Ovis aries: one gene and its partners. The protein of the gene in region 6 purifies or fractionates together with the protein of the main gene of each other region. This does not show direct contact. Links are inferred from orthologs where the notes say so. Each region holds a gene or a part of one and is shown on either strand. Other genes may lie near its edges.

Region 1 (3,965 bases), on a different chromosome or scaffold from region 6:
ACTTCAAAATTTTATTTTCAAAACATTCTCCTAGTATGAACCTCGCTTTTGTAATTCACTATTCTTCCTTAATAAGATTAAATTGCCTTTAAGTATTCCTGTGCTGCCTGCAGGAGTAATTTAAATTCAATTTGTCAGAGAAAGGATTAATCCCTTACCACTACTGTGACAATCACAGGAATGAATGAAATTTTTAAATCAATCAGACCTTGCCAAGTGCCAAAGACTTCATCAACTTGTTATGAAACTGCTCAGATTATAAGCAACCTTTTCTTACCTAGAGTTAATGGGCTGTGACATAACCCATTAACTACTTAAATTTTAAGAGAATATACTAAGAGATAAATTTCAAATCTTAATTTTAAAGGTAAAGAAATTAGAGTGAAATAAATTTTAATAGCTCTCTTGAGCATTAAAAATAAACCATGTTGCACACAACCCACAAAGCTGTGACTTTTTACAAGGGTCTCACAGAAAACCCTTCATTCTTTCATTCCTTCACTTATTCAGTCACTCAACCACGGGTGTGCCCAAAACAGCAAATCACTGACTGTCTTCTCTGCCTCATCTGTATCTTTCTAGAAACACAGAGCACCCTACACAATCACAGAAAATCAGCTCCCGATACATCCCCAGGGACAGCCTGCAGTCATGTATCAGCTTAGGAAACAGCTGAGACCACGCCTTTCAAACTGGGCCAATGGGCCCCACCCAACCTGTGCTGGGCTGTGCAGAGATCCGAGAATTGCCATCAATATTTAGCCACTGCATGAATGCAGGCAGGGAGCTGCTTAGCCTTCAGAAAGCTTCACATGCAAGACCATAGGAAAAGTACATACATATATCAGGCAGGGTAAAGGGACTCGTATTCACGATGCAATGATTTCTCTGCTGGTCAGAGGCCCAAGAGAAATGTGCCAGTATGTGCGCACAGATCCACAAAGTATTCACAGCAGGAATGTTTCAACAGCCCAAACTGAGACAACCTGAATGATCTATCAAGGGCAGAACAGACGAACAAATTGTGATATGTTATTAAAATGCAATGCTATACTGCAATGAAAACTAGAGCCACACACCCACAGCACAGGAGTGTCTCAAACATAACACGGAGTGAAAAAACATCCTGCAAGGGTTTATATAGATAGCTATCATTTTTACATAATTCAAAGATGGAAATGTGAATATACGGGACGCCACTGCACTGCACACTTTTGTTTAGAGGTGTTTGTGTGTGTGTGTGACCCAGGATGAGGTAGATGAGTGAGAAAGGACCTTGGGTCCACCCTAGTGAGGGTCCATGGGTATCATGACGGGCTCACGAGTATATTTTATAATTACACTTTATGATTTAGATATATAATTCTCTTATATACCAAACACTCTGTAAGTTAAAAAACGGTGGGGGGGGGGGGAGGAAAGGTGGGCTCATGAGTAAACACCAAAGGGCACCCAATGATTCCTAGCCCAAGGACCTCATACCAATATTTGTTAATGCAGAACAGACGGCAAAGCCAAAGAGCAAAAGTGCAATCATTCAGACTGCCAGGGGGCAAGGAGGGGATGGGAGCAGTAATTTGAGAAGTGCATGAAGGCAGGCAAGGTGCAGAAGCAGGCTGGCTCCGGAGGAGCAGAAGGCTGCAGAAGAAGCCGAGTCTCCTTTTCAACCCAAGAGACAACATTCCGGCAGCAGGAGGATCTCCAGTGATCTCCCCCACATCACTTTCACTTTTTCTATATGTAAGGTGAATAACCATCCCCACGAAATTGTAATGACTCATTCCTAGACAACACAGAAAGATAAAAGGGGGCCGTTTTTAAAAACTGTAAATAAAAAGCTTTGTGTTGGCAGTAACGTATATACATGCAGAATGAAAAAGGGACAAATAGTTATTTGATTTGTCTCTAAAATTACTCTCTAGTTGTTAAAGTTTCTTTCCTTTGAAAAATCTTGGCCAAACAGGTAAATTCCATATTTTACATAAAGAATATCGAAATGTGATAAAAACCAACTAGGAGGCAGTTACTAAAAGTCTTCACTGCCTTGACTCTCCCAACAGGAAATTTTTAAGCTTTTTATCTACAAACTGTTGGTTTTCAGCGATGGAAAGTCAGAGCCAGAGATGAATCAATATCTGCCCATAAGGGACATGTTTGATAAAAATCCCATCATAGAAGTAAACACTTATACATGTTATAGTGCACTCCATGTTCAATCCATTGGGGGAAAAAAAGAACAAGGGAAAAACTTTTTTCTATCATTTAGAAACCAAGATAAAAAGAATACTAACAGATAATAGTAAGAAGAAAAATATAGATTTCTGCTGGATAAGGAAGCAGAAAGCTTTTTACCCAAAATAAGAAATTACAATTACCCAAATACAAACAAACATCTTCCCCAGAAAGCAACACCCTGCTTGCAGATTCCCAACACAGGGGAAACAGCAGCCTTTGATACGTAAATCCCATTAAGAGGCTATCAGTTTCACATAAGTCTGCCTAATATAAGACAAGTATTTTTTAAACCCACCAATGACTACAATCTGCATCTCACAGTTTGTTCCTGAGGGCTGCCAGAAGCACAAATAAATCAGAGGAGAAAGGAATCACTGTGAGAAGGCTCCCCCTCCCAATTTCCCACAAAGAAAGGTTGGGGAAGAAAAGGGGGAAAGGAGAGCTTGCGGAGGGACTCACATGGCCTTTCAATCTCCCCAACTTTTTAACAGCCTGGACCCACATCCTCTGGAGGAACTGCGCGGTCTTCATGGCCTCTGGAGGGTGACTAGCCAGAGCACTGCCTACATCCCAGGCTGCTCGCCCATTGCCACCACTCCACGTGGTTACGTAAGGCAGATACAATAGTGGCCCACATTCCCAGCAAATCCTGTTGTCATCTCACACAGTGACACATCCATACAGCGGGACACCGAACGCTCTGAAAAGCACTACTTATGAGGAAAAAGAAAGCATTCTGGATTTGCACCACTCTGCTGCTTTCCCTCCCTCTCTCCCATGCCAGGGAACTAGAGAATTAAGAGTAAATATTCCTTTTAGACATGTAAAATGATTCAGTATCTGAGCAGAAATTTTTAAGTTAAGGAGGACATTCTAGAGCAATGTTGTAGAAAGGAACACTTAGAGAAGTATTTACTTACATAGATGCCCCCCTTCACCCCCCTACACACACATACACGAAAAGCATAAGCTGGCTGAACAGCAACGGGTAATGTTTCAGGTGCCTGGAATTGCTGTTATCACCTAGAAAATTAAAAGGCTTGAAGATACGAAGCTGCTCATCCTTGGAGATAACTAAGTCTACACTCGGGCAGTGGGTACAGTCAGGGCCATAGCGGGGGCAGAGTGCTCACTCAGCAGAGCCTCCTCCTCTCTCGCCCCTTTCTGTAAACTTCACAGATAAAAGAATAACAAAGGGCCCTGCTCTCCACTTCTTTGTCTTCACCACTTGCAGAGGGTGGGGGTGGAAAAGCACATTTGGGGTTTTTGAACATCTAAGAAAACCTGTATGGGATGCTGGGGGTTTGGAAGCTGGGTTGGGATTTTGGAAGCATGGTCTTGGGGAGCGGTGGTCCTTGTCACTGTATATTGTATTTTACACCAATGGGCCAGACAGGCTGCAAGGGAGGAGCGAGCCCTCTACATTGTTTGAGGTTGTGTGCTCAGTCGTGTCTGATGCTTTGTGACCCCATGGACTGTAACCCTAACCCTAACCCTATGTAGCCCACCAGCCTCCTCTGTCCATGAGATTTTCCAGGCAAGAATACTGGAGTGGGTTGCCATTTCCTTCTCCAGAGGTTGAGGTTGAGATGTGAATTAAATGCAGACCACGAGATGCACACCACAAAAGGAGCAACTTGACACAGAGGCAAGGACGATCTGGGGGCCATCTCTGTCCTGTTACCGAGCTGTGGGGCCTGGGATAACTTATCTCCTTTACTAAATGAGGA
Region 2 (3,500 bases), on a different chromosome or scaffold from region 6:
TCTGAAATGGGAAACCGTTTTCTCTTTTAAATTAAAACTTCATTTATCAACTTACTGATAAGACATTGTAGCTATTGAGAAGAAAAGATGAGTAAAACTAAGTTTAACTACAGTTTATGGAGATGATTGTTGACTTCACTTGGAATACCTATTAAATATTTGTGTCATTGAATGTGTTTGGGTAATATTTGCTTTCTGCACTGTTTTTTGTTTGTTTTAAAGGACATTAATAATCTAGTTGTAAATTCTGTTTTTCTGTGTTTCTTATTTAATATTTCAGACTTTGACCACGCAAAACACTAAGAATCCTAAAAACACCACTGGTAGAAGTTCAAAATCCAAAGAGGTAAGAAACAGTCCACTAATATGGACCCATCTGTTCCTTCATTCCCTAAGAGTTCGTCTACCTTGTAACTTGTGTCTCTCCTATAATAATTAGCTTGATATAGAGCAAGGGACGGGAATGGGATATTTTATTTTTGACCTTACTACCAGTTTGTTTTCTGACCTTGAGCTAAGCTAAATAGTTTGTGTTCTTAGTGTGGGGCAAAAAGTTATACAGGGATGGAAAGGGAATTAGAAAGGGAGACACCTCCAGTCTCTTCTCAATAAGAATAGGTTGTAATACAGAATAAAGTCTTGTGTGTAAAGGAGATTGACTTTTGACTGGAGTCCTCTCCAGTTTGTGGTCCTTTTGGTATGGTTCAATTTGCCCTAACTAGATGGGTTCTAAGATTTACTTTCTGGTTATTGACATCTACTGCCAAATAAACATACTATAATTTTTATTTGGCTGTTTGGTATTTTAGGTTTCTGTTACTCATAGATTATTTTTTCAGTTATTTTACTTTTTTCTTCTGGTAGGGGATAAATTTGAGCCTATTTTATTAGAGCAAGGAGAAATGTTACTAGCTTAAAAACCCAGAAGTAAGGATTATGGTTGGTTTCATGGCTTAATAAATTGATCGTACAGTTGTGTACAGATTCCCCCTCCTGCCCCCAAATTAGTGGGGTATGTATTCTAATGCCATTATTATGTTTGCTAGTAATTGACCATTGATAGCATACTAAATGTGTAGGAGGCCTGCCAGGAATTTATTTTCTTTAGTATTAGCACCATTTTTCAAATCACAGATAACTGTTTCTTTTTAATTTTTTTTTTATTGTAGTTATATTTGTCATTAAGTCTTAGTAATAAGTTTTCCATGTAACTTCCTCAAAACATAAACCTTACATAGGCGTACCTTAGAGATATTACAAGTTTGGTTCCAGACTGCCATAGTAAAGTGAATATCACAAGAAAAGTGAGTCACATAAATTTTTTGGTTTCCCAGTGCATGCAAGTTATGTTTGTGCTATACTGTACTCTGTTCAATGTGCAGTTGCATTGTGTCTTCAGGAAGTGTACATACCTTAATTTTAAAATTCCTTATTGCCAAAAATGCTATCATCTGAGCCTTCAGTAACTTAGTAACTTTTGTAAATAGAAGCATCAAAGATCGCTAACTAGGGATCATCATAACAAATATACTAACGATGAAAAAGTTTGAATAATGTTAGAATTAGTGAGATGTGACAGAGACATGCAGTTAGCAGATGGCTGTTGAAAAAGTGGAGCCAGTAGACTTGCTTATCACAGGGTTTTCACAAATCTTCAATTTGTAAAAAATGTATCTGCAAAGTACAGTAAAGCAAAGTATGCCTGTATCTTAATATTGCATATCTTAAAATATGTATTATATGTGTAATTCATCACTGGAACAATCTAGTTAACTGTTAACTTTGTAGTTTCATTTGAAGTGCTTTTAGTAGTCTGTGAATTCTTCAAAACTCTCAGTAGATATCATTTAACATATGGAAGCTGTAAGCTTTTACATTGTATTGTTTGATAAGTGCTTTAAGTGCAGTATTTTTGTGTGTCATATTTTAAAACTCATACATCATTTAGGAAATAATTGTAATCTTACTGAAATTGGATTGATATTGTTAGGATTTACCTTTGGCATTGTTTACTCTTTGGCTTTTGGGGGCTTTGAAAAATAATTTCAGCTTTAGGAAACATCTCTGCTGAAATTCTCATACCGTCTCTTGAAATTTTCGCAAATGATAGATACATCATGCACATTTATTGAAACTGGACCTAGCCAGTTATCAGTAGTTGTTCACAGTTCTGATTTTTTTTTTGTTGTTGTTCCAAACAGGAACCTTTATTTCCATTTAATTTGGATGAATTTGTTACTGTGGATGAGGTTATAGAAGAAGTAAATCCTTTTCAAGTCAAGCAGAATCCACTGAAGGGAAAAAGGAAAGAAGCTCTCAAAAATACCCCTGCCTCTGAACTGACCTTGAAGAAGAAGAAGGGAAAGATGTCTGCTCCTCGTGTGGTTGAGGGAGAGTTGTCTTTTGTAACATTGGATGAGATTGGGGAAGAGGAAGACGCAGCTGCACAGCTAGCACAGGCTCTAGTCACTGTGGATGAAGTAATTGATGAAGATGACATAAATGTGGAAGACATGGTTAAAAATTCAAACTCACTTCTTACATTAGATGAGTTAATTGATCAAGACGACTGCATTTCTCACAGTGAAACTAAAGATGTTACTGTGCTGTCTGTGGCTGAAGAGCAAGATCTTCTTAAACAAGAACGCTTGGTAACTGTGGATGAAATTGGGGAAGTAGAAGAGCTACCTTTAAATGAGTCAACAGATATCAGTTTTGCTGCTTTAAATACTAAAGGAGATGAGGGAAATACTGGAAGGGATTCTATTGGATTCATTTCTTCTCAGATGCCTGAAGACCCTTCTACCTTAGTTACTGTAGACGAAATACAGGATGACAGCAGTGATCTGCATTTAGTGACTTTAGATGAAGTAACTGAAGAGGATGAAGACTCTCTGGCAGATTTTAACAACCTTAAAGAAGAGCTTAATTTTGTTACTGTTGATGAAGTTGGAGAGGAAGAAGATGGAGACAGTGATTTAAAAATTGAGTTAACACAGAGGAAAAATGACCATCCCACTGATAAGAGAGGTGATAGAAAAAAGAGAACTGTGGACAAAAAGAAGACAAAACTTGAAGCTTTGTCTCAAGTGGGCCCAGTAAATGAGAATGTTATGGAAGAAAATCCGAAAACCATGATTGAAAGACGCTCAGCAGGTAGATACATAGAAGTGGTAATTTTTGTTTTATGAGAGGACTACATTTAAATTTTTTAAAATATATTTTATAGTGTTACTGATAATGTCATTGTAGCCAACAGATAGTTGTGGCCAAGTGATATTTTCCAGAGAAATATGTTCAGGATTCACAAAGTTGTCTTAGTTCAGATCTGAGGCCTAAGGTACTGTATCAAGAAAAAAATAACAAAAACAAGGCAAACTAGGGTACCCAGATGAGAGTTGGAATGCCAATGTTATATTTGTATTACTGAGAATAATACAGCTTTTGATAAGTAGAAGGCTATTTATATCAGACTGCCTCCTAGTTTTTGCTTAGACATA
Region 3 (3,500 bases), on a different chromosome or scaffold from region 6:
TACAGTGTCGGAAGTAAAGAGGAAAACAAAACATAAATTAAAGGGTCAAATCTGAACACTATGTTAACAAGAACCAAACTATTATGTCCAACAAGTAAAGAAGCATATGCCAAAAGAGATTCTCCTCCTCACTCATCCCTTTTAATAACATCCAGACTGTAATGAAATGGTATGCACTACTAGCAACATTTACTTTACTAGTACTCTGGGGTACAATATAAAAGAGAATTTTTACCATCATAATCTCTGCATCGCCTCTTTGGTGGTGGGTTTCGACCAAAAGAATTGGAAGAGCTATGATTATTATAGTAATTAGACCAACTCTCCGTTGTGTTTTCAGAGTGGTGCGCAGGTGCGATCACAGTAACAGTGCTGGGAATAGACTGTGCCCCCGAGGAATACTGCTCAGAAGAGTTTGGAGCTGGTGCAGACACAGGCACATAGGAGCTCTCCAAGTCATTCCTTTCACTCTTAAACTTTGATCTTTCTCTATGTTCTGCTTTGGAGACAAAATAAAGACAAGAAACAAGTAAGACCAGACTTCTATGTTGTTAAACTATATTTATTTTCTCACAGAAAAGGCAAGATGAGAATACTGAAGTAAACTTACTGAGCTGTCCATATCTTAAAATGCTCTCATTATCACTATAGTCTAAAACCAGGAAAATCAACAATGTGATGGATCTTCACCAGTAACTTGTATAAAATCATTTTTATAACATCAACATCAATACATAATGAAGAAAGATCAGTTTCTCTACTGACTTAGTAAGAATGCTAAGAACTGACTTTCAAATTGATATCCTGGGATATCAGAGGTTGGGATCTCAGTAATCTACTGCCATTTTTTTCTTTTTAAATACTCTAGCCAACCTTAAAGCAAATCAATTATTTTCAGGCAGGGGGTGGGGGTGTGGGTATGGAAAGAGGCAACCCTCTCCCACCAGTAATAGTTTTGTTGATTAAAGGACATGTGTTTCAATTATATAAAATGACTTAAATTTAGACATGTCCTATGATACCTGAACAAATGGCTTCTTTTTCTTCAAACTCCTTTGACTCCACCCTGAGAATAGAGCCCTGATTTTGTAACAAAAATCAAGTTTTTGTGACACAATTACAGCTTTTACATTGCTCAGACATATTAAAGGTTGCTTGTTGGTGTTCAGTCCCTAAGTCATGTCTGACTCTTTGTGACCCCATGGACTGACTGCAGCATGCCAGGCTTGCCTGTCCTTCACTATATCCCGGAGTTTGCTTAGATTCATATCCATTAAGTCAGTGATGCTATCCAACCATTTCATCCTCTGCCGCCTCCTTCTCCTGTTGCCTTCAATGTTTCCATCAAAGTGATGTTCTGACACCCCTGTGATACAAGAAAACAAGCAACTGTAGAGTTTTAGGGGGAAGCCACTTGGACTCACCAACACTCCTATTTGGATCCCGGTCTTTGCTGCGCCCCCGGCTTCGACTCCGACTTCGACTCAGGCCTCGGCTCTTACTCCGGCTCTTACTCCTGCCTCTTCTCCAGTCATACTTCTCACGGTACAGTTCATTCCGCTCATAGTACCGGTCGTAGTCTCTCCACTTGCCATCTTCTCTTTTCTTCTCCCGTGTCCTGTAATATACAGATATGAAAGCCATAGATACACTACAGAAACCAGACAGAAAACAAATCTGGAATATGAATTATCCTCTGTGATTCATCAAAATTCGTAACTTCTAAGCTTTTCCAGAGAGCCGTAAAACCACTGCGTAATTCCTCTAATCCATTACATAAAAAGAAAAAACATTCTCTTCAAGTATACTGGGTGGGGAGAAATGAAAAAAAGAGGTGAATCCAAAGCATGGGGAGGGGTAAAAGGAAAAACATATTTAAAACTAGAAAAGACAAAAAGCTCAAAGCAAAGAGTTCCTAAACAAAAACTAATTTTTTGATGGTAGGCTGACGAATCAACATATAAATTGCACTACTTGTAATATAAAATGCTATGGACAATTTTAATACTGAGCACCCCTAACCAAATGGAACATTTCATTAATATTCTCTAAGGAGACTGCTCCCACCCCTGAGCTCCTGGGGAAAGCAGATAATGATTATTGTTTATAAAAGGAAGAGAAAGTATGACAAAGATAAAAAACACAGGGAATGGAAAAAAAAATTACTTCTCTAATCATTTTACAATGAAAGGAGTAGAGCATATGTCAAAAATCCTGCTAATGTCCTTATAAGGTAACTGAAAAGTGAGTTATCAATATTTTCCTAATTAAAGATAAACACAAACCTTCGTTCGCTAGATTCTGAACGAGTCTTCTGGGGACTAGGGTATTTCTTTTTTCTGCCATCTCGTTCTTCCTCTGCTGGCTCCTGAAACACCTACATGAAAATATTCGTTAGAAATAAGAACAGTTCTTCCATTAATTATAAAACACATCCACTTGATAAATTCTTCTGGCCACAAGAGAGGTCATAAATATACTTAAATATTAAAGTCAAAAAAAAAAAAAGTCAAATCACATCCCCCAAAGTTGGTCAACAGGAAAAAGTAAAAAAAGATGTTGAAATTACTTTGACAGCAATATGTTAAATTTTAAATATCACCCTAATAGCAGTGGAGGAAAACATTAATTCATTCTTTAAAATGTAACAGTAAAAATAACAAATCTCTACTTCTAAGTATCATATAGTAAAACGGTTTGTGTGTTTTCCTAATTATAAAATATATTCACAATATAATTCATTTGAGGAGAACTTTAGATTTATTTCATAGACAAAGTTTAAGGAACAAATGGTTAACCACTGCTATAAATCTAAGTATTTCATGTGAATTATGGAAAAATGGTATCAGAATTATTGGAAATGTTAAGGCTTCTTTAAAAACTTAAAGTCAAGATTGACCAGAAATACAGAACTAGTGATTCTATTAAAGTTTTTTAAACACAAGTTAATCTCATAACAAATACATGGCACTTCCCTGGTGGTCCAGCAGTACAGAATCCACCTGCCAATGTAGGGGACATGGGTTCAATCTCTGGTCTGGGAAGATCCCACATGCCTCAGGGCAACTAAGCCCATGCACCACAACTACTGAGCCCAGGTACCTAGAGCCTATGTTCCACAACAAGAAAAGCCATCTCAATGGGACACCCGCATACCACAACTACAGAGCAGCCCCTGCAACTAGACAAAGCCTACACGAGCAACGGAGACCCAGCACAGCCAAAAATAAATAAGTTAAAATATATATATATGGCCTTTACTAGAGAGAAATTAAGACAAATGAAGACATCTGGAAGAGCTAAACAAATGCCCATCTAATGAGAGGCTCGTTTAAAAATACACAAATCAGGAAATGAGTGAATGGAACAGAAGATAACAATTTAGTAAAATCCAGGCAACATAAAATGGCAGCCACAATATGACAACCATATGTTGCTGACAAAAACATTCTACAATTCTTAAACTATATTTAAAAATCATTCTCTCTACCAATTCACAG
Region 4 (4,206 bases), on a different chromosome or scaffold from region 6:
TATAAAAATAACTCTCTACAATAATCAAGTACTTTAACAGAATGCACTAACAAGTAGTTAGTTGCTGATGCATAACCAGTACCTTGTTCCAAATATTCCAAACTCTGCTTCTGTCTTTTGATAATAGTACACATCCGCCCGAGAGCAGCGCGTTTCAGTTGCTTGCAGCGGTACAGAGAATCACCATATTTCATGAGCCGCACATAATCTTTAGCAACGCTGAAAAACAGAAAAACATGTAAGATTTTGCTCTCCTTTGACAGTAACTTCAAAAATACTACAGTAAGAAAATCCCTTACTTGTCCACTAAATTTTTGGCAATGTTTATTTGTCCTAGAGCCAACTTGTAATGATCCTTGTCATAGAGAATGTTCATCAAATCTGCATAAAATGGATGAATATCCTGTAACAAGAACAACAGAATGGTCACCTTGGTCTGGCAGCTTCTCCTCCTGTGTGTGGATAACACTTGAACATAACTTCCTAGGGAAACACATCACACCTTCTGCTCTTCCTCATCACCCACCCTCCCCCCTCAATCTTCTCCCCAGGTCTCTCTCAGTGACTATTTAGTCACAGAAAAAAAATAGAGTCAGCAGGTAAGTGAAGTCCACCTGCCCTGCGCAGGCCTGGCCAGGCCCAACTCCATCTGGGCACCAGAGCCCACCACTTGGGCTCGAAAAGAGAGCTCCAGAAATACTTTCCCACCCATCCAGCCAGTCCCATCAACCTGTAAATGTGCTGTTATTGCCGAAAACTTAAGAAGAAAGTTTTAAAACCTCCGTCTCTTTGCTCCTCTTCTATTTGTACAGGCGTTTCCTGGTGCTGTCACCTCATCCTTACTGCATTTTTCATCCTCATGTACTTTCTGAAGTACCTGCACTTTCCCCAGAAACTATACCCTCATCCAGCCAGTAGCCACTAAGCACTAACATCAAGTCCTAGAATTTTACACCAGCAATTTCTGTCACATGAACCAATCTCTTCTCTCAGCCTTAACCCACCTTCAGGGACTATCTCAGGGCAGTTGAGGCTCTCAGGCTGTATTGCAGACCCCACATCCATCACTACCTCAGCAACTTCGCAACCACGTGGTCCCACTCAGGGGCTCCACAGGCAGGGTCCACTCCTGCATCCTGCAGCTAAGCACACAGGCAGATGGCTCCGTGCAGCAGGGCCTAACTTCGGGGGCTCAATGAAGAAGGCAGCACCCCATGAGACTGACTCTCATAAGAAAAGCACACTGACCATAAACCGCAGCAGCAAGATAACACACACTGCTGGGCCTCAAGCCACTGGCCCCATCTGAAGCCACAGGAAAGGGAGCTTTGGAAAGAAGGAGAGGACGCATAGGCCACCAGAACCTTAGGGTTCTGAATTCAGTCCACAGCTTTCAGAATCCCAACTGTCCCCACAGCCTAGAGATTACAGAGAAAGCCCAAGGCTTTCAGAGATCGGAGTTTCACTGGGGAAACAAGATACTAAGGAATCAAAAAACCTCTGATCTGCTCCCAGTTTTGTTACTAACTTTCGGAGTAAACTTTGACAAGTCAATTATTTCCTCTTTCCTTCACTATCAGTCAACTAAGTAGACACACCTGGTTTAACCTTGCCTGCAGGTTCATATTTACATAATCACTTTCCCCCCCGCAGAGTCACTTACATCCAATTTGGGGAAATCTGTCAGAATTTGTGAGAGTCTGTCATGGTAATTCTGCTGAGTAAATTTGACTTTCCTCATATAAAAATGTCTAATGCGATGGATTTGATAATGTTTGTGGATAACTGTCGGAGTCTTTCGCTGAGTCTTCGATAATGTCAGGTCAATAAAGTCCTGCAATAAAATAAGACAGTTACACCAAAAATGTCTCCTTTCACCCACTTATTTGAAATCACCTTAAAAGACTAATGTTCAACAATGTATTTTAAACTACAAACACTTTTTCTATTTTAAACTACGAACACTTATTCTACTTAAATCTTCAGTGTAAAGCTCTGTTCATCTTTATGGTTCCTTGCCTTTATGAAAACACTCAGCAAATGCCTGCTGAAATAAACTTTATCCCACACTCTTGACATTATCGTAAATTCCATACACCTAACACCATCTGAAAGGTAAGTACCCAGAAAAATCAAGCACAAAGCAGGAAAAAAGCATGTTTTAAGGATAAACAGTTCTACTATTTCGGTTTGTGTATCTCCAGTTTTGACAGCACACACAAAAAACCAGTGTTTTCAATTTCCCAAGGTAAAGTGGACCTGAAAGACTCCGGCATGAAGTCCAGAGCAAGCCGTCCAAGAATATCGGCGTGCGACGCTGTCTGCTCTGGGAAGCACAACGCCGGCTCTGGGAGGCACGCTGCCGCCAGTCGTCGCAGACCCACCTACTTCATAGAGCTTCCTGACTCTCCCCATCTCCTCCGGGCAGATCCCAACCCCCTGAGGGCCCTAATCTCTGAGGAAGGACCCCCAGAACCCAACCCCCGAGGGCCCTAATCTCTGAGGAAGGACCCCCACTCTCTGGGAGGACCCCAAACCAGGGGGCCCAAATCTGGAGAGAACGTGATCTAAGAAGGGGCCCGGCGGGGAAGGCGGCCCCTTCCAGCCCACCGTTACAGACCGGAGCTCCAGCGTCCCGCGACCTAGCCAAAAAAAGCGGAGGCAGAAGGGCCCTTGGGGCCTCTTACCTTGGCGGACGGCACCACCGTGATCTTCTTGAAGTTGTAGTGCGCCATGCCGGCGATTCGCCACGAGGGGACAGCCGTCCGGACATCCGCCGAGGAGCCGGGGAATAACTTCCGCCGAGAAGGACGGGACTTCCGCCTGCGGTGCGTAGGCAGTGCGTCAGTTCCGGCGCTCCCTGCTCCCCGCGCACCGCCTCGGAGTCACACAGCGCCCTCGCCGGGCCAGAGAAGGGGTCGCAGGGCCAGGGCGGAGGGCGCGCGCGGCGGGAGGACTGGGCCGGGAAGGCGGCGCTGAGGTCCGGTCCCCACCGCGGAAAGGAGAGGGTCTTGAGAGGCCTCCCCTGGCATCTGTGCTGCCCAGCCGGTCCAGGGCCTGGCTGACCTGAGCCAGGGGTCCGGGGGGCCTTTAGGAGCCTGGGGGGTGAGGGTGGGCGGGTCAGAGGGGCTCGGAGGGCTCCAGGGGTCTCGGGGAGTCTGGGGTCTCCGGAGATCGGGGGGTCTGGGGGAGTGGGCCCGGGCTCTGGCTGGGTGAGAGGAAGGTGGGGGGCGCGCGGGTCTGCTCTTTGCGCGCTCACATCGCTTCTCCCCCGGTGAGCGCGCTTCCTTTTTTTTAATTTTTTGGTCGGTGAGGCGGGTGGGATCTTAGCTTCCCCACCAGGGATGGAACATCCGTCCCTGCACTGAAAGCTCAGTCTTAACCACCGGGCCCCCAGGGAAGTCCCCTGCTGAATCTTATTAAATAAAGGCCGTGGAGGCCCAGCCGTGTGCGACAAGGGACACCTCTCCTCCCCCGCGAGGCCGCGCTGGCGACCCTACGCCACCACCCCATCTTGGCCCCACCGGAACTGCCAGCCTTCCCCCAACCCAGGCCAGCCGCAGGCCTTTTGTCCCTCTTCTTCCTCAGGAGCCCCTCATCTATCCCTCCGCCTCGGTGACTCTGGCTCTTGTCTTAGCATCTCTGCTCCCCTGACCGTGGCTGACTGACCTGCCCACTGCCTTGCCCCAGCGAACTCCACCTGGAACTTTGCCCCCCACCTTTGCTCTGCCTGCCAAGGGTGGCCCCAAATGCCTGTATGGACCAGACACTTCCAGTCAGTTGTGCACTGACTTCCGGCACGATTCCAGATTTGCAGCACAGCCTTTCTGAGAATCAGACTGCAGATGGGTCCATCCCCAGGGCCCTGTGAAGGGGGGCAGTCCCTCCCCTCCTACTGCCACCGCAAGAGCGGAAGGGGCAGCCAAGAGCCAAGAGCAGGTTTTGACCTGCTGTGAGTGCAAAACAGGCTGCTGGTGAGATGAGGTCAGGAGGAAGGAGATGGCCCCCAAGACCCACAAAACCCTACAGATGAGCAGGGCAGGAAAAGCCCACCCAAAGCAGAGGGCTGTGGTCGGCTCCATGGCTGCCCTCTGCAGCAGACGGAGAAGGCTGGGGCACTGAGACACTGGCCTCCATAACCTGCTAATGGGTGGCCACTCCCTTGTAGAGCCCAGGACCACATCCGTCGGGAAACTGTACCTGCGT
Region 5 (4,010 bases), on a different chromosome or scaffold from region 6:
AAACTCAATGCTATTCTAGCTTAGGGGGGAAATGTGAACTGCTGCTCACTTGGAAAGAAATTTCCTGTGGGAAGCCTCCAAAAGCATCTCCACAAAATCTCAGCAGTTATAAAACTATCGATCTAGTTCAACCTTTTCTCATCTCGGATACAGGGAAACTGAGGAAATCAAGGTCTCCAAAGGTTAAGTTTCTTGCTGCAAGTAACAATGCTCAGGAATGACTCCATAGTTAATATTAACACTGATAATGGTGGATGATCCCCAAAGGATTGATTTCTTGGAAAATTTATGTCAACACAAGAATTCTTCTTGGATCAGGAGGTATTTTCCTATACTGCCATGGTGACTGTCTACTTCATATCTACAAGGACATCAACTACTTCTCTCAAATCAATGTCAAATAAATGACTTCAGACCCTTGCACTCCACTTAATCAACTGGAACCACATCTTTCTGCACACACCATTTCAAGAATCAAAAATTAACTTAGAGCTCTTCTGATTCTTGACTTCTTTATTAGAATTCAATTGTCCCAGTAGGAAAACATTTTCAACCCAAGGAACTTAGGAAAATACTGGTGAGAAACCAAGCGCCAAACATACAACATCATGTCCTTCCCTGTCTCTGTGCATTCAGAGTTCACCCCGGTAATGAATCTTCTTTCTTACCTGGGAATTTGGCTGGAATGCAGCATGCGGGGTTGAGTGTTTTTGTAAATTTTCTAGCATTAGAGCCTGGTATAGAGAAGGGCAAAAGTCAGAAACCAGGAAAAACAAAAGCAAAAAATACCCCTCCCCCAATCTCTTCATCAAATGCAATGACTAACCATACACACTTAAACTGTACTTTTCCAAGGACCTAAATGCCCTTTACTAATACTGTTCTCATTCTTCAGAAGACCCTTAAAGGTAGCCATGGTTACTGCTACCAAATGTACAGATGTAAAATGCAGGCATATTGAAGAAATCTGGCTATGCAATAAAATCTGACAGTACTACAATCGCTATTGTCTTCTGCACTTCTGACTAGTGTTCCTTCTAAATCTGGCCCTTCACTTCAAATACTCAAACCAGGTTCAAACACATGAAACCATGATTTTGTCCTCAGTGAATTATTTGATCAGTTACCCAGATTAGATCTACTCAAATGAACTTGTATTGTTTCCAAAAGAGTGGCAACTAGATTTACCAAATTTATAAACACACACACACGAAACTGTCAGCTTCAGTATAAGCAACGGTCTGCCAACTTAACCCTTGAGCCAACCCAGCCCAAAACCGTACTGAGTGAGTGAGTGAGTGAAGTCGCTCAGTCGTGTCCGACTCTTTGCGACCCCGTGGACTGCAGCCTACCAGGCTCCTCTGTCTATGGGATTCTCCAGGCAAGAATACTGGAGTGGGTTACCATTTCCTTCTCCAGGGGAATCTTCCCGACCCAGGGATCGAACCCGGGTCTCCCGCATTGGAGGCAGACGCTTTAACCTCTGAGCCACCAGGGAAGCCCCCAAAACCGTACTAGTGGTCACGTATCCTAACTAACGCAAATCAAAATCAAGAGATCCTCACCTTCCCTCCATTTACACCAAATAAACACACCAATTCATCCGTCTACCTCTTGGCAATCCCACCCTAATCTACTTAAGCAGATTCAAAATCCCCAATACATACCAGCCCACCTCACCTCTCTCATCAATATTCACCAAACTCTTATCCACCCAAATTGCTTCAGGATGCCCTATAAAATATACACTTCTGGCTAACCAAGTCCCTTCAAATCAAGGCTTCTCTTCATCTCACCTCCTAATCTAGTCAAGCAGACATTTTTGCCCTACCCCAATTCTATTCATTCGGATACCAATAACCAACCCCATCAACCCCTCCGGCCAACTATACCCCTAACTCCGACCCAGCCCAACTCGCCCCCCTCAGGCCAGCAACGCCGGTGGTTGTAGTGGGATTTAACTCCTTCTGCAGCGCATGCGCCGAAACCACAGACACAAACAAGGAGGGGGTGGGGGAACGAGGAAGGAGCTTAAGACACTCCAGGAGAGTAGCGCGCACCCTCCCATTTTGGGCTCGCGCCGCTACCGTTAAGGCGGGAACCGGCGCTATTTCTACTCCAGCGCGAGCCTCGCCAACCACCGTGCGCGCGGATCCGGAGGCTCGCGCTGGCGGCCTGAGCTCGCTCGCGCCGAGCCCGGACACTGCGCCTGCGCCGCGGCAGAGACTCGGCTCTACCGGGTCCGCTTCCCTCCGACACCCCGGCAACGCCGTCTCCTCACCCCTTTGAGCCGCTTGACCAGGGCACTCTTCTGCCCGCTCTTGGCTAGGCCTCGCTGCTCCAGTGCGGCCTTCAGGTCGGTCACCCGCAGCGCCTGAAGAGGCTTCCCGTCCAGAGTCACCTCCTCCAGCTCCGCCATCTTGCGTGAGGTACTCGGGTCCGTCCCGACGGCTTCGGGCATCTTCGGTAATTTCCGCCAACGCCCTTCGAACGTACCGAGTTGGCCCCGCCCACTGCCATAGTCAACCCCTCGATTACCACTCAGAACTCCCCGGGTTCCTCCGGAAGTGCTCGGGTGTTTCCGTCTGCACATCGGCACCAATTGGTTCTTTCCAGCCTCCCAGCCTCTCCCCGCCTCCCGCATCCTGCTTTCAGAGCTCGGTTCTCTTCGTCTTACCGAGGTTTTGAATCGAATCCGTTCGGAAGCTGTCGACTCTGGCCTAGCCATAATCGGAATTTTTCGGCTATCTCCGGCCCTAAGGCTGAGGCGCTGTGGAACTTGGGTGTTTGGGGCGGGTCCGGGGCCGGAAGTGCGTGGGCTGCCGGGTTGGCCCTCCTTAGGGTTTTCAGGAAACATGGAAGCGGCCGCGATAGTTGGAGTCTAAACCCTGTTGTGGCGGTCTCCGGGTGCCCTGTGAGAGAAAAGGGGAGGTAAGCGGGGTAGAAGTACCTCCCTCCTTGGGCTGGGCAAGACTCAGTGTTTGCGTGCTACCCTTAGTGTGGCAAGCCTCCAACTCTTCTACGGATACAGCTACCGCCTCCCATCTTCCGAATCTCCGCCACTCCCATCTAGGGCTGTGTTGCTCTTTGGGACCTCGGAATGCCAGATTCCGTGGCCTCCAAAGTGGAAGGTGGCAGCATAGTGTCTTTGGACCTGGCCTACGAACCAGTTCTTGATCATTGGACTTGAACTTGCCATTGAAGCTATGTCGCAAGACTCGGGAAAAGTTCTCCCTTTCTCTGAATAAGAGAATAATATTCCTTTAGGAAGAATTGCTTCTTGTAGGGCCACTGTGAAAAAGAAACCTCCTTGAGCTGTTTTGGTAGTGAACTGATGGTAATTGCTTCTGGGTTCCTTTGTCAGTAGAAACGCTCCAGCTTAGAACAGAAGAAACACAAACAGTAAAATATGTCGTAAACAAGTTGTTTTCATCGAGATTCAAACTGTGGAATTTGAGAACTATTCAAGCTGGTTGACCTCCCAACTGCATTAATGATGCTAAGGCCGGTCATCAACAGGTATTCTATTAAACACGAAGAAAAGTGTTCATACATGAATTGTCACAGCAGTATAACACTTGCTAGGTCCCTAAGCCAGCAAACCAACTAGACCGTTTTCTCAGTCCTTAAAAAAGAATTGGCTGCTTTTCCTGTTTTTCTTACTCTGTTATCTCATTTTGGACAAGGCACCCTCACTAACTCTGCTCTTCAATTTTTCCTGATGCTTTACAGGAAATATAAGAAAATAATACAGTTATAAAGTTCTTATTTCAGAGGCTACATGCACATTGCAGAGAAGGCTCTTTCACTGTATAAGATTTTCTCTCTCTTTTTTTTTAACCTACTGTTGATAGCTCAGAAAGGATTAGCATCTGGGTCCTGACCAGCTGCTTGGTAAATTAAAAAATGTATACCTTTTTTTCATTTTAGGGAAGATATATTGGACCAGTATTAATCGTTGATTTTTTTCTTTACTCAACCTAGAACATAGAATTAGGTGGGACAGAATG
Region 6 (3,500 bases):
TGTAACTATGCTCAATGGAGACAAGGAAGCATGCTGACGATTGTAGGTTGGCTACAGGAAACCTGTTACTATACACTCCTTTGTAGAGAAGTGGCCGACGCAGACAGAGTTCAAATGAAAATGAAGCAGCAGGTAAGAAGAATTCAGTGACCTTTTAAGGGAGGACAAAGCTAAGTAATTCAAATATTAAAGTACGACTTAACTGGGGCATCTTCCTTCTCAAGAAAAAGGTCTAATTATTACCAGTCATCGGGCTCTTATGCAAGTTCCTAACATGTACACGTTTAACTCAACTGCTTCCTATGAACAACTTTGCAGGCTCTCAATGCCCCTACACAGACTGACACAAAGCTGGCCCAGCCTCTCACCTGCAGACCCTGAAGGAGGAGGAGCGCCCGCTTTCTGCCACTCGGTGGCCTCGGCTGCCATTCTTCTCACATATGCATCGTCCACACACATCAAGATGTTTTCTGGCTTTATGTCAGTATGAATGATCTTGCACTTACTGTGGAGATAATCTAACCCCTGAAGGACCTGATCACATAAAATCAGGAAGGAGTTATTAATACTTCTATTATTCAACATTTATTTGTAAAATAGTTACAGTCATTACAAGGCACAATAGGAACTTGGGCCCGACAGGAACCCAGCTCCTTCCCATAAGCAACCAGTGTATATCATTCTGGAGATAATTTATGCTCATATAAGAAAATGCATTTAAACATATGCTTATTAAAATAACAACTTTGGTGAGATATAATTTACATGACACACAATTCACCCTTTTTTTTTCAATTCAACCTTTTAAGTGTACAATAGAATGGTTTTTAGATGTGCAACGGTCATCACTATATAATTTAGAACATGTTCATCACACAAAGACGAAACACTGCACCCATTAGCAGTCACTCCCCATCTCCTTCCAACTCCTCTAGCCCTAAGCAACCACTAATCTACTTTCCTGGCTTTGGACATTTTATGTAAGTGGAATGATACAGAGTGGTCTTTTGTACCTGGCCCAATACTTTCAAGGTTCATCCATGTGTAGCACATAGCAATACCTCATTTTTTTTAGATGCCAAATAATTTTCCACTGAAAATACATTTTGTTTAGTCATTCAATGATGAACATTTGAGTTCTTTCCATTTTATGGCTACTATAAATATATTGCTATAAACATTCATGTACAAGTTTCTATGTAGACATGTCTTTATTTTTCTTAGTAGCACAATTATTGGGTCATACTGTAACTCTATCTTTAGTCTTTCAATAAACTGCCAAGCTGTTTTATCCTATCTATGGCTGCATCATTTTACATTCCCATCAGCAATGTGCAAGGATTACAGTTTTTTCCGGATGATCAATACTTGTTATCTGTCTTTTCATTTTAGTCACTCTTGTGGGTGTGAAGTGTGTATCTCATTGATATGCATTCCCATAATGGCTAATGATGTCTGTACATTTCTAATATTGTAGGAAAGGAGAATTAGGTAGCTTTGGTACCCAGGCTATAAACTATATAGTACTGATTTAAAAGAAACTGCTAAACCAAGATACTCACATACTTACCATGTGTGTGTGTCTGTGTAAATATATATATAGCAAAAATTACAGAGTATGGTGACCTAAATGCCAGGCCAAAGTTTTTCTGGAATTATTTCCATAAGAGGGGAATTCTTTCTTTTCATAAGGAAAAAAAATATTTTAAAATACAGTTCATGTTCCCATATATTACAAATTCTACATGCTCAATAAACATTTGCATTTAATAAACATCTTCATTCAAACATTTTAAGTCATTTGGTGTCTTGATCACATTAGACAAGGAAGTGAGGAAAAGACAAGCAGAAGATATCTAATACTGAACAACTCGGAAAAGTTCTCAGCAAAAACCCAATGCTTCTGTCTACCTTCAGTTTCTGGCTAAACAATCTTGAAAGTAGAAGTCCCTCAGTCGTGTTCGACTCTTTGTGACCCCATGGACTATACAGTCCATGGAATTCTCCAGGCCAGAATACTGGAGTGGGTAGCCTTTCTCCAGGAGATCTTCCCAACCCAGGGATCCAACCCAGTTCTCCTGCTCTGCAGGCAGATTCTTTAGCAGCTGAGCCAATACCAGGGAAGCCCAAACAATCTTAAGATGACAAAACATTAGTAAGTGAAGGCACAGATTTCGCAAGGAAAGTAGAAGGAACATGAGTCTCTTAACCAAGATGAAAATCCTCATATTCATTTTAAAAACTTTTCCTTGGAAATACTTTCACATGACTTCACTGACTGAGCATCAGTTGAGCTCCTATAACAGGCTGCATATGCTTATAGATGTTTGATACACAGCAATAAACAAAGTTCCCCATCTCCACGAGGCTTTGACTTTACCTTAAAATTAATATTTAATGTTTTAGATAATACTTCAACTAGAATATGTTTAAATTATGTTTAAAATGTCCAAATACCAACAGTACGAAACATAGCATTATATGTTTCCATAGAGAATAAGGTTATAATTCTGAAGGGAACACAATTCAATGAGCCTGTATATATTCACTGGCATTCATGCATCTTCTTTGGGCAAACTGAAGTATCACATGGAGTTCTTATATATGAGTAGTAAGAGAAATTCTGAGAAGTACAAGAAATTAATGGACAAGTACACTGATGACTTCCCGTCTGTGGAAGTAAAAGGAATAAGACTTTTAGAAAGTTTAAACTATTTTTAATTATTTCAACTAAAATTTCACTTCAATCATCAAATATTAACTCAAAGTTAAAATGTCAGCATCTTTCCAAAAATATCTTTCACTACCATCTCATGAACAAGTTGTTCCTAACTTTCCACCTTAGTTCTTTCGTAGTTCTTAGGTTGTTTCACTGTGTGTGAAGCTGCTTAGGTAAGAGTTAATATGATCCAGTATCCAAATGTGTTAAAATGAATTTCAATGAAAATGAGACACTTGAGACAAGCAAAGTGTTCTCAGTAAGAATTTAAGGTTTCAGATATTTAATCCCTTTCATGGATCACTGCCTTGTTGTGGCGAAGGGGCTTGCATAACTCAATGAAGCTCTGAGCTATGCCATGCAGGGCCACCCAAGACAGACACATCATAGCAGAGAGTTCTGACAAAATGTGATCCACTAGAGGAGGGACTGGCAAACCACCCCAGTTATACCTGCCATGAGAACCTTCACAAACTATTAAAAAAGGTCAAAAAGATATGGCACCAAAAGATGAGTCCCCCAGGTCTAAGGTGTCCCATATGCGACTGGGGAAGAGTGGAGGAGAAGTACTAATAGAATGAATAAAGTGGCTGGGCTAAAGTGGATACAACGCTCGGTTGTGGATGTGTCTGGTTGTCAAAAGTAAAATCCGGTGCTGCAAAGAACAGTACTGCATAGGAACCTGGAATGTTAGGTCCATGAATCAAGGTGAGTTGTGAGTGATCAAGCAGGGGATGGTAAGAATAAACAATGACATCCTAGGAATCAGCAAACTAAAATG
Region 7 (3,928 bases), on a different chromosome or scaffold from region 6:
TAGTTAAAAAAAAAAAACAGGGGCTGACAGAGGCCTGACTTACTGTGTGGCCCTTGCTGGGCTGTGCTTCAGTCTCCCTCTATCTCGGGGGAGTCAATTAGATCACCCCAGCCTCAGGGAAGCAGGAGAAAGAATCCAACTGAATGGAGGACAAAGATCCGGTTTCTGGGGCAGTTCCAAAGCAGACAGATAGCAGCCAGTTGCCCTGAGCTGGGCAGACAGTGATCAGGTGGGTGGAGACCCCGCCCTCCCTCTCCACCCCAGCAACAGCTGGGGAGCTGCCAGGCCTGGTTCCAAGTGCTTCACCTGCCTTGGGTCTTTCTTAATCCTCAGCCCCCACTTTATACACGAAGAGTGAGGCCCTGGTGAGACGGCTGCACTTTCCCCAAGTCACACTGTCTATCCTCCCCGCTAACCACCCTCTCACTTGGGCCAAGTCTCCTCCCCGACACTTCCCAAACTGGACTTTGAGAAGGGTTAAAAATCATGGGGCTCAGGGGTAACATTTCATGAAACCTTTAATGAAACTGAGGGAGGGGCACGAACAAAGGGTCTGGGCGCGGGGCACAGGCTCTGGGGCGAGGGAGATGGGCGTGGGACAGGGCAGGGGCTCTCCTCTTTCCCGCAGCAGCCCTCCCCCAATCATCCCACTGACGGGGGAGGGACACGGGAAACGGAGCCATAAATACGTCCAGAATTCCAGAGAGGCAGCGAAGGAAGAAAGGGGCGGGGCCAGGAATCTCAGAGAGGGGGCAGGGGCAGGCCTGGGCCGCCTTTGTCAGGGGGCCCTGGCTCCTTGGGTGGCCGTGGGGGCCCCGGAGGGTCCCCTGGCTTGCGGCCGTGCTTGCGGAAGTAGCGGTAGCGTTGGACGTAGGCGCGCACCAGGTTGCTCACCTTCACTGGGTTGATCTCCCCACTTTTGCTGTGGCAGATCTGGGGGGCAAGGGGCAGCCGCAGTCACCACCAGCCCCCAGGGCCCCAGGGTGGGAGGCCCGCCCTCAGGTCCAGGCTGTCTGAACTTGACCCCCTGATGTCTGCTGGAGGAAATCCTATCTCCCTCTCACCTTCCAGACTGACCCACCGTCCCTGTCTGCCTGTCCGCTCACGCCCATCACGCAGTCTCCCCCCTGCCCACCCCGTGCATGTGTCTCCTCTGGGCCCCACCTTGTGGACGGCCTTCCTCAGGATGTCCTTGTACTCCTCCTTGGTGATGTCCTTCTTCTGATAATACGGCTTGATGGCCAGCTTCACCTCCTCCACCGCCCGCTCCTGTGTGTGCAGCTTCTTCAGATACTGGGAGGTGGTGACAGGGTGGGAAGGAGGGACAGCAAAGGCTGGGTGAGTTTCTGCAGAAGCCTGCCTCCACTCACCAGCCTGCCGGTTCAAACTTCCTGCCCACCCAGCTACTCCCGGAGGTGAAGTCCTGATGAGGGTCTGCCCTTGCTGCAGCCGCCCTGCCAGCCAGGCCAGGCCTGGGCCTCTCGGGGTCACCAGCATTTCCTCCAGGCTGGACCCTGGGCTGGCCCAGGCATCCCTGACCAGGATCCACGTGTCCGCTGCCCTTAAGTCTATTAGGGAGACAGACCTGAGCCAGGCGGCTGCTCCCTGCTGCCTCAGAGAGATGGGGGCAGCAAAACCGAGGCCTGGGAGGGCAGGACACCCCACACTTCAGGGCAGGATCTCCCCGGAGACAAGAATGCCAGCTGTCGGGCAAGCTGCTGCTGGGGGAGCCATGGACACCCCAGGGCGTCTCCTCAGGCCTCCCCAGCCCCACAGGAGTGGGTTTGAGACATGTGGCCAAGAGAAAGGGGTTGTGGCCCACCTCTGTCTCAGATGTGCCGAGACAACGGCAGGGCACAAACAGGGCAGCCTCCCCAGTGGCACAGGGACCTGCTGCTCGTCACAGAGCCCATACCGACCCTGTCCTGCAGCCCATGGCACCGGCCACAGGCAAGCGTCCATCAAAGCTGTGGCCCATCTCTGTTTATATGGGGCTTACAACACAAGGGTTTGTTCTGCCCGCCTTCTGGCACCTCACGCGGGCTGCAGAAAGGGTGAACAGCGCCATCATCTGGTGACAAGACAACAGTGACCAGTGTCCACACCAAAAAAAGGCACACAAGCCCTGAGACCCAGGAGCAGCCAGCTAGAGGAGCAGAAAAAACCCCGCTTGCCCTGTATCCTTTCTTCCTCCCTCCATCCACCAACAGACGCTTGATCTTTCGTTTGTATACCACCCCGTGCCCCGCTTACACAAAAAGACTGGGGTCAGTGAAAGAGACAGGTAACCCAGGGGCAGACTGCAGTGGGTATGTGCGTAAATACCAGTGTGTGTTCATATCCATCTCTCTCTCTACCCCCACCCCGATATGAAACTCTTAAAAAACCTGCCTAGAACCCCTTTCCCACCCTCTCGTCTAATCAAAAACAAGTTTCCTTCCTTACAATTGAGTGACTTCCCTTTCATCTAAATCCTCATCTGCTGGCATCAGTCCACAGCTCTCCTCAGGCCCTGCATCTCAGTATCTGGCTGTGATCTCGGCAGAACCGTCACCATCAACCCACCTCTCCCGAGCCCAGTTCACCTTGTCTGTGTCCCCTCGTCCCTCGGAGCTGCTGCTGCCCTCTCTCTTGTCAGACGCTGCAGCCAGCCCAGTGGGTGTGGGAGGGGTGGAGCCACAGCCTCCCAGCGGGAGGCTGCCAGGCAGCAGGTAGCTGGAAGGGCCAGGGGGCAGACCCAGGGAGGTGGGCACAGGAGCTGGGGTCACTCCCAGACTTGAGGGTGGCTTCCTGTGGCTGAGGATCTGTGGGGAAAGGTCAGAGGATAAGCAGGAGGGGACGACGGAACCGGTACCCCTGCTCCCACCCTGATTTCCCAACAGTCCCAGAGGCAACAGGCTCCTCTTCTGGTCGATACTCTGCTCCAGAGCCTGCCAGGAGCTGTAGTCCTCTCCTAACCCGAAGCAGGGGACAGGAAAGGGGGCAGCGGGGACTCCTCCCCAGGAAGCCCACCTGGTTGGTGGCCTGGATCAGCTCCTGGGCCTTTGCTCGGCTCGCCAGATTGGCTTCTTCCATCTTGAAGAGAAGTGCAGTCACTGCAGGAGGTGGGGAGCGGGAGTTGATGCAAGAGGAGAGGGTGAGCCTCCCCCAACCACTGCTGCCCCCTCGTTCCCACCCTGGCTGCAGGTCTTCGCTCAGGACCAACCAGGAAGAGTGGGCCTCAGGCACCGAGAGCCCGCCCACAGCCTGTGTTCTCAGGACTTCAGGTGTGCGGGGTGGGGCTGGTCCTGAGCCCCCGTGGCCGCTCCCCACGTCTGCAGTCTAGCAGACTACTGGCGTCCCCTAAGGGACCCTGCTCTCCCCATTCTTCCCAGTTCCTCCACCAAGCCTATTCCAGGCTGCCTCTATGCAGACCCCAGGACACAGCCCACCTCTCCCGGCTGTGTTGGAGTGGCCTGGCTGCCTGCTGCCCCTGCGACCCTGCTGCTCTCTTCCAGCACACCCAGACGTCGTGGAGTCTTCTGGACAGATGTTGACTGGCCCTCGCCCACCTGAGGTCCTCCTGGTCCTGGTCATTATACACCCAGCCCTTCCAAGGTGTCTCCACCACTGCCTCCAAGCTCATCCCCAAATGACCTTCTTCTCCTGGATCCCGTCTGTCTGCCCCCGCCTGCCCTAGGCCCCTGGGGGACACTCACAGGCCAGGACGCCGCTGGTAGTGCAGTCCACGCCTGCAGGCAGGTTCCAGGGCATGGGCGGAGGCAGGGTGGGCAGCTGGGAGACGCGGGGAGCAGGCCCGTCCTCCGCCCCCGAGTCACCGGCTGTGGACCCTGCGCTTGGGGCAGCGCTCGGTGCGGCGGCCGCCGTGCTGGTGGCTGTGGTGGTGGCCGGCTGCTGCTCCTCCTCCTCTTCCTCCTCCTCCTCCTCT

The links.
Region 1: the proteins of SRPK2 (region 6) and TJP2 purify together in Homo sapiens (affinity purification with mass spectrometry; 3 studies listed by BioGRID and IntAct, with this or other methods). This does not show direct contact. The link is inferred for Ovis aries from reciprocal best matches to the Homo sapiens genes SRPK2 and TJP2.
Region 2: the proteins of SRPK2 (region 6) and ZNF638 purify together in Homo sapiens (affinity purification with mass spectrometry; 3 studies listed by BioGRID and IntAct, with this or other methods). This does not show direct contact. The link is inferred for Ovis aries from reciprocal best matches to the Homo sapiens genes SRPK2 and ZNF638.
Region 3: the proteins of SRPK2 (region 6) and RBM27 purify together in Homo sapiens (affinity purification with mass spectrometry; 3 studies listed by BioGRID and IntAct, with this or other methods). This does not show direct contact. The link is inferred for Ovis aries from reciprocal best matches to the Homo sapiens genes SRPK2 and RBM27.
Region 4: the proteins of SRPK2 (region 6) and GTPBP4 purify together in Homo sapiens (affinity purification with mass spectrometry; 3 studies listed by BioGRID and IntAct, with this or other methods). This does not show direct contact. The link is inferred for Ovis aries from reciprocal best matches to the Homo sapiens genes SRPK2 and GTPBP4.
Region 5: the proteins of SRPK2 (region 6) and ACIN1 purify together in Homo sapiens (affinity purification with mass spectrometry; 3 studies listed by BioGRID and IntAct, with this or other methods). This does not show direct contact. The link is inferred for Ovis aries from reciprocal best matches to the Homo sapiens genes SRPK2 and ACIN1.
Region 7: the proteins of SRPK2 (region 6) and SCAF1 purify together in Homo sapiens (affinity purification with mass spectrometry; 3 studies listed by BioGRID and IntAct, with this or other methods). This does not show direct contact. The link is inferred for Ovis aries from reciprocal best matches to the Homo sapiens genes SRPK2 and SCAF1.

Annotation. Positions count from the first base shown.
Region 1 is NC_056055.1:67,460,396-67,464,360, forward strand, and holds the start of TJP2 (tight junction protein ZO-2), read right to left. Parts: upstream 2,801-3,965; 5' UTR 2,767-2,800; coding exon 2,695-2,766; intron 1-2,694. UniProt on the Homo sapiens protein: Plays a role in tight junctions and adherens junctions. Acts as a positive regulator of RANKL-induced osteoclast differentiation, potentially via mediating downstream transcriptional activity.
Region 2 is NC_056056.1:93,306,815-93,310,314, forward strand, and holds part of ZNF638 (zinc finger protein 638), read left to right. Parts: intron 1-280; coding exon 281-346; intron 347-2,201; coding exon 2,202-3,156; intron 3,157-3,500.
Region 3 is NC_056058.1:55,175,664-55,179,163, reverse strand, and holds part of RBM27 (RNA-binding protein 27), read right to left. Parts: intron 2,378-3,500; coding exon 2,286-2,377; intron 1,619-2,285; coding exon 1,425-1,618; intron 500-1,424; coding exon 236-499; intron 1-235. UniProt on the Homo sapiens protein: May be involved in the turnover of nuclear polyadenylated (pA+) RNA.
Region 4 is NC_056066.1:45,938,087-45,942,292, forward strand, and holds the start of GTPBP4 (GTP-binding protein 4), read right to left. Parts: upstream 2,801-4,206; 5' UTR 2,736-2,800; coding exon 2,688-2,735; intron 1,835-2,687; coding exon 1,664-1,834; intron 404-1,663; coding exon 300-403; intron 220-299; coding exon 83-219; intron 1-82. UniProt on the Homo sapiens protein: Involved in the biogenesis of the 60S ribosomal subunit. Acts as a TP53 repressor, preventing TP53 stabilization and cell cycle arrest.
Region 5 is NC_056060.1:21,576,730-21,580,739, reverse strand, and holds the start of ACIN1 (apoptotic chromatin condensation inducer in the nucleus), read right to left. Parts: upstream 2,801-4,010; 5' UTR 2,729-2,800; coding exon 2,282-2,728; intron 735-2,281; coding exon 669-734; intron 1-668. Other genes in the region: C7H14orf119 (uncharacterized protein C14orf119 homolog), read left to right, coding at 3,494-3,519.
Region 6 is NC_056057.1:47,828,549-47,832,048, forward strand, and holds part of SRPK2 (SRSF protein kinase 2), read right to left. Parts: exon of another isoform or gene 535-3,500; coding exon 369-534; intron 1-368. UniProt on the Homo sapiens protein: Serine/arginine-rich protein-specific kinase which specifically phosphorylates its substrates at serine residues located in regions rich in arginine/serine dipeptides, known as RS domains and is involved in the phosphorylation of SR splicing factors and the regulation of splicing.
Region 7 is NC_056067.1:55,789,947-55,793,874, reverse strand, and holds the end of SCAF1 (splicing factor, arginine/serine-rich 19), read right to left. Parts: coding exon 3,699-3,928; intron 3,096-3,698; coding exon 3,013-3,095; intron 2,805-3,012; coding exon 2,586-2,804; intron 1,294-2,585; coding exon 1,165-1,293; intron 934-1,164; coding exon 742-933; 3' UTR 501-741; downstream 1-500.